Drosophila melanogaster: one gene and its partner. The gene in region 1 interacts genetically with each later gene. Each region holds a gene or a part of one and is shown on either strand. Other genes may lie near its edges.

Region 1 (3,130 bases):
CCCCTTAAGATGTAATAGATATTTTAGCAGCTTATATTTATACCAAAATTAAGATGGTACACATTTATAACACTTAATTATATACATACAATTGAATATTTTTTTAATATATAGTTTAATTTTTGGAACAAGTTTGTATGCTCTTTGAAAGAGTATCATGCCGACAATAGCTCAAATCGATTAAATATTTTCGTATGCCGTACGCTATTTTCGACCTCATGTTCAGCAAATTATGTTGGATTTTGTTTTTTTTTTTTTACCTCATATGCTGACGTTTGAGTTTTGTGTTAACACGTCGAATGTATATAAAAATTTTTTTGTGACTCCGCAGCTTAATTTAATGTTAATAATTTGTTGCACGTTTTTATGACACTGCAAACTGGATTGTTGCCATTATTTTGGAGGTGATGTAAATGTGTCGCTGAAGCTGTCACACTTGTCCAAATTAAAATCTTGTTGGCATTACGGGAGTGGAATTTGAAATTTAACTGAGTTCCGATGTGGATTTTGTTGAAATTCAATATGCTTAAGTAATTATAGAACTTTAATGCCTGTAAAATCTTCTACAAAATTCTAGAAATTTTTCTGTGTTCAAAAGCCTTTCCATTTGACCCTTAAATATTGAATAAGATAATAATTTTCATTTTTATTGCGACTGTTGCATAATGAACTAAACATGTTAATTGCCTCTATAAACACACAAGATCATATGTCATCGTTCACTTAATAAGTGTATATATTATTTAATCACAATCATAGGGAAAATTGTTTCATAATGCTTGAAAAAAAAAAACGTAAAGACTCATCTAAAAATGTTTGCTATTTTTTATTTGGGTTGTTATTGTCCAGTTCAACGATGATTTGCATAACTCCTATGTGTTTTTTTTCTCGGTTCGTTTTCCTGTGTGTCGGTGAAAATGAACCATTTATATCTTTATTATTGCCTTTTTATGGGGCGCACATGGCTTCAAGAGTCACCATTGCTTTGTTGGTTTTTTAAATGTGCGTAATGAGTGGATGTTTGTAGTAAAGTGCGAGTAGTTTTGACCACCTGGATGTTTATAGGAAATGTTTGGAAACCTCGGCTTGGGAGATCTTTACATTTTCAATACCCTAAACCTGTAAGACGCGTTGAACTCGCCTACGAAAGCATTTCATTTGAAATACAAAATATAATATTATGTTTTCTATCCTTTAATAAATTAAATTTCTTATTTTAACTTGCATTGGCTGTCGCAATTTTCTGTATCAGCAATATTTTGGGAAAAGCGTTCAAATACCCTATGAGAAAGGGTATAACACGATTATACAAAACTCGGACAAAAGTCGTCTTCCATTCACTTAATAAAAGACAATAACTGCGTTTACTTAGTGTGTCCGTGTTCGTGTGTACTTGTTGAAGTTAAAGCAAACATATCTGGACACAGATATTTAACTATATATGTACATATATACATATGTATCTGTATCTATAAGCTATACGTACGAACGTATATAGATGCGAACAAACCGAGTGAGAGATTGTGTACACACTATTGCTAAGTGGAAGTTAAGTGAAATCAGAGCCGGCAGCACTTTGAACTCCAACCCGTTGTTTTTTGGCCGTCCGAACGGTGGATCAACACCTCCTCCAGATCGCGAGATCGGAGATCGATGCGGAGATGTGAAGATCTGGATATTTGGAGATGAGATCAATGGACGAACTTAGATGGATCGTATCCGATCCATCGACACCTGTCCGAACCGACCCAGTTGCCTTTTAGACACACTGTTTGTGTTTTGACTTTCAATTCCAAATTGTATAGGTTTCTAAATTTTCAAAAACAAAAAAAAAAAAAAAAGATAGAAAAAAACTCAAAAAGAAGCAAAAGACATGGCGTGGTGCTTCCGCGACATTCGGCGCCACATGTGCATGCTGGTGCGTCAGAACTTCGCCAAAAGTTGCGAGAAGAAGCTAAACGATCAGATCAACATGGAGTTGAAGGCATCCCACCAGTATCTGGCCATGGTAAGGTTCCGCAGTCAATAGGGAATATATATATATGCATATAGTACGTTCAATACACGTAGGCCTACCATTTCGATCGCTCCGATATCAGTTCACCCGGAATGCATCGATTCTTCCTAAAGGCGAGCGTCGAGGAGCGGGAGCACGCGGAGAAGATCATGACGTACATGAACAAGCGTGGTGGTCTAATCATTTTGAGCAGTGTACCACAGCCGTTGCCCTGTTTCGCCAGCACCTTGGATGCACTAAAGCACGCAATGAAAATGGAACTGGAGGTCAATAAGCATCTGCTCGATTTGCACGCCCTGGCTGGCAAGGAAGCGGATCCGAATCTCTGCGATTTCATCGAGGCCAATTTCCTGCAGGAGCAAGTGGATGGCCAGAAGATTCTGGCCGACTATATTAGCCAATTGGAGAAGGCACAAAACCAGGTGGGCGAATTCCTGTTCGACAAGTATATGGGCAGCGGCATGCATCCTGCGAAATGAATACCTCAAAATGGACAACCATCCGATGAAGAATACGTATTATAATTGGCAAACCCATGTGTGTTCAGTAAAGATTCGTTTTTTGGCCGATCAATTGTTTTTTTTTTTTTTTTTTTGCTGCCACATTATCAAGTGGCTGGCGTAAAACTAACTCTATAAATATACTCGCTTATCGGCTCCAAGAGTTGCGCAAGATTCTAATTGAAATCGACACCGAAACTGAGTCCAAAAACAAAGCTTCACGAAATCAACAGCTAAACCCATCTGATAACCCTTTAGTTGGACCACAGTGTTGATGGTATTGGATAGTAACTCATCTGCTTTATCCAGTTCTGTAAATACGTTTCTAATCAAATGACACAATATTTCTGTTATATATATGATAACAGTTGATAATCTCGAATCTATAAAGATAAAAGTTAAAAGAAGCCTGACATTTAACTACGCTTGTTCTACCCATTATATAATAAAACACTTGGAACTTGATGATGAAGCAGTTGGTCTATATGATAAGCATTTGTGACGTATTAATAGGTTATCTATATCTATATAGATTGAGATCGTGAAAGTCGGCAAGACACGACAAATATAGTAACTCATTCATTTAGTTACATAGAATATAATATGAAATAAG
Region 2 (3,427 bases), 4.0 Mb from region 1:
CCGCCCTTCAACCAGATGCCCCAGAACTTTATGGGTGCCCAGCAGCAGCAGCAGCAGCAGCAGCCGCACTTTAACAACATGTTCGGTGGACGTCACTAGAGTGTCGTAGACTTAGATATCCATACTATTAACGTTATGCAATTTAAACGTAATGTAGAAACGAGAATAACGCCCTTTGAAGTGCCCGTGTATCTGCTAGCTGGCAAGTGATTTTTATTATTTTTTTTTTTACCATACATGTGTGCTGCTGCCAAAAAAAAGAAAAGAAAATAATCACTACCTTCATTTGTTTATAAAACACCGAACAACAATAGAATTCAGAAAACATAAATCTGAAGAGCACGTGAATAAACATACACAATAATTCCGGAAATCAACTTTAATCGACTTTCGTTTGGAATTATTAGCTGGGGGAGCTTTGAGTTCTGAATTCTGTGTATTGAAATAAAAATAAACGAAATGGAACGTACAAGTGACAAATAATAAAATAAAATAAAATATGTATAGCTACATATGATGTTCTTCAATGGTGATTTGATTATTATTATTTGATTTATACATTAAACAACTGATTTTTAAGTTTATTCCTCTCAAAAACAACAAATTTAAACTTCGAAACCAAAACTAATCGTACATAAATGAATAAGCGAATGCAAAGCATTTATACCAGAAGCTAAGCTTCACAGCTCCAGGGAAGTATAAGTATATACCTTTGCTCATCCGCAGCAGCAGCAGTTCCATGTATATCGAGTGACCACTGTGCCAACAGATGAAGAACAATAAATATATCAAAATCGAACGTTTCAACCGACTTTTTATGGAGGAGAATTTAAACTAATCACGGAATTAACTACAGTAGGGCAGGCGTAGGAAGTCCACGGACTGTGACTTCAGTATGCCGGGTATCTCCTGCTGCAACAGTTCGTGCAGCGACTGACCACTGTGCTTGTAGATCCATCTGCCCGCCGCCACAGTGCCGACGAAATCGTATCGCTTGGGACCGCTGGTGGGCGAACTGAGCCAGATCTGCTTGTTGGGCGTCTGCCGGTTGATCACATAGGTGCCGTGTTGTCCTCCCAGGTTCACGGTTAGCACGCCATCCTGTGGAAGCGGAAACCCCGCGAGGATTAGCAGGTCAATGGAATGATGTAATAGCCGAATGTCACCTACGCTGTAAGCCACATCCGTGCCCTGCAGCTCGGAGGCGTTCTCCGTCAGCTCCTCGAAGTAGTCGCACAGTGCGTCCAGGGTGTCGGAGCACACACGCTCGTAGGTGGCGCCGTCCAATGTGGATTCCGTCTCAATTTGACTGCTAAACAATCGCCGGTTGGCAGTGAATTCCTCGCATTGAATAGCAACTGCGGCTATCGCTGGTGTGCTGGGCAGGATCACTTGGCTGGCGTGTGCTTGGGGCTTTGACCACCTGCCCATGGTGGCCAAGCATGCCCGACCAACGATCGAACGGACCATCAAACGACCGGCAAACATTTTTTAGTTGTTTACGATTTGTTTATATTTTACAAATCCCAGTTGCGGGGCTGCCAACTTAATGGAAAATGATTTGCCGTTGGTATTTTCTAGATTCTAGTGTGGTATAATTTTTGATTTCTATAAAGCTGAATAAAAATGAGAAGTTACAGATTTTTTTTATTAGTAGCAGCAATTCAGCTAAAGTGTTCTGCTAGTTTTAGGTAACTAAAATTTTGTATATTCTCTAGCAGTTACTATTTCCTTATCATATATATTCCGCTATATATACCAATTCCCGGCTTATATGATTTTTCTTAGAATCAGATACGGCCACACCTCCACCAACGCCGACAGAAAATGGCGTCTGTCTGAAAATTGTTATTTCTCTTGGAAAATCCATACAAATTTGACCAGCGAATTGCACAAAGATGGCCCTGCCAAGCAACTACAAGCAGATAGCCGTTGGCGGCCAGGGATCGGCCACACCACTCCAGGGCGGCGGCGGTGGCTCCGGCGGCGGCAGCCGGTCGCGTTCATCCGGCGGCGGAGGTGGTGGCGATCGCAACAAGGATCAGACGCCCATCTTCACGCACAGCAACTATGGGAATCCGGCATTCACGCCACAGAAGGTAACCAAGTCGTCGAGCAGCAAGAACCAGAACGAATCAAGGCTACCCAAGCCACCAAAGCCGCCGGAGAAGCCCATTTTGCCCTACATGCGGTATTCGAAACGCGTCTGGGATAGCGTCAAGGCGAAGCATCCAGAGCTGAAGCTGTGGGAGCTGGGTAAGAAGATCGGTGCCATGTGGAAGTTGCTGCCCGAGGATGAGAAGACGGAGTTCATTGACGAATACGAGGCGGAGAAGCTGGAGTACGAGAAATCGCTAAAGGCCTACCACCAGACGCCCGCCTATCAGGCCTACATGTCGGCCAAGAGCAAGGTGAAGACCGACGTGGATATGCATGAGACACCGTCACGCGGTGGCGGCAGTAAGTCGCAGCATGAGCGACGCATCGACATTCAGCCGGCGGAGGACGAGGATGACCAGGACGAAGGGTATACGACCAAGCACTTGGCCTACGCCCGCTATCTGCACAACCATCGCCTGATTAACGAGATATTCTCGGAGGCCGTTGTACCAGATGTGCGTTCAGTGGTGACCACCACGCGGATGCAGGTGCTCAAGCGGCAGGTCAGCTCGTTGACGATGCACCAGACCAAACTTGAGGCGGAACTGCAGCAGATGGAGGAGAAGTTCGAGGCCAAGAAGCAGCGCATGGTGGAGTCCAGCGAAGCCTTCCAGGAGGAGCTAAAGCGCCACTGCAAGCCGGCGGTCGACGAGGAAACTTTCCAGAAGATGGTGCTTCGCATGTACGAGGACATCAAGCGCGATCGCCAGCGATTGGATGAACCGAATGCGAATGCGAATAGCGCAGCGAATCCTGCTGCAGCTGCCGCTACAGCTGCCGCCGCTCCAGTGACGAGGAGCGAGGAGGCAGTGAAGCCGCCAACGCAGCCAGGTCAGCCCGCTGCCACACCCGCTGGCCAAGAGCCGGCGTCGGCGGTACCAGCGCCAGCAGCTCCGCCCAAGGAGACACCGCCGGCTGTGAAGCCCGCTACACTCAATCCCACACCGAGTTCAACGCCTACGCCGGCGCCAGCGGTGCACGTGCACGAAACTGCCAGCAAAACGGATCCCGAGCCCATGGACATTGAGCCACCGCCGAAGCCATCGGTTCCGCCGCCACCCATCAAGCCAGAGAAGCTGGAGATGGCCGCTGCCCTGCCTCCGCAGTCAACGCTAGTCGAGCCACCCAAAACGGAACCCGCCAAAGTGGTGGCCCAGCCCGGCAAGGTGCCCACACCGGTGCCGACACCCACACCGCCGCCTGAGGTGGCTCCAGCGGCCGGAGCAGCTACTGCAGCGACCACAACAACGACGACGACACCAACGCC

Evidence for each region.
Region 2: of Fer3HCH (region 1) and fh, changing one suppresses a phenotype caused by changing the other (phenotypic suppression), as found in Drosophila melanogaster (2 studies listed by BioGRID).

The regions. Positions count from the first base shown.
Region 1 is NC_004354.4:13,106,840-13,109,969, reverse strand, and holds Fer3HCH (ferritin 3 heavy chain homologue), read left to right. Parts: upstream 1-1,775; 5' UTR 1,776-1,873; coding exon 1,874-2,008; intron 2,009-2,070; coding exon 2,071-2,496; 3' UTR 2,497-2,588; downstream 2,589-3,130.
Region 2 is NC_004354.4:9,147,525-9,150,951, forward strand, and holds fh (frataxin), read right to left. Parts: upstream 1,548-3,427; 5' UTR 1,489-1,547; coding exon 1,171-1,488; intron 1,102-1,170; coding exon 847-1,101; 3' UTR 556-846; downstream 1-555. Other genes in the region: CG7065 (uncharacterized protein), read left to right, coding at 1-99; Bap111 (brahma associated protein 111kD), read left to right, coding at 1,899-3,427. UniProt on the Drosophila melanogaster protein: Promotes the biosynthesis of heme as well as the assembly and repair of iron-sulfur clusters by delivering Fe(2+) to proteins involved in these pathways.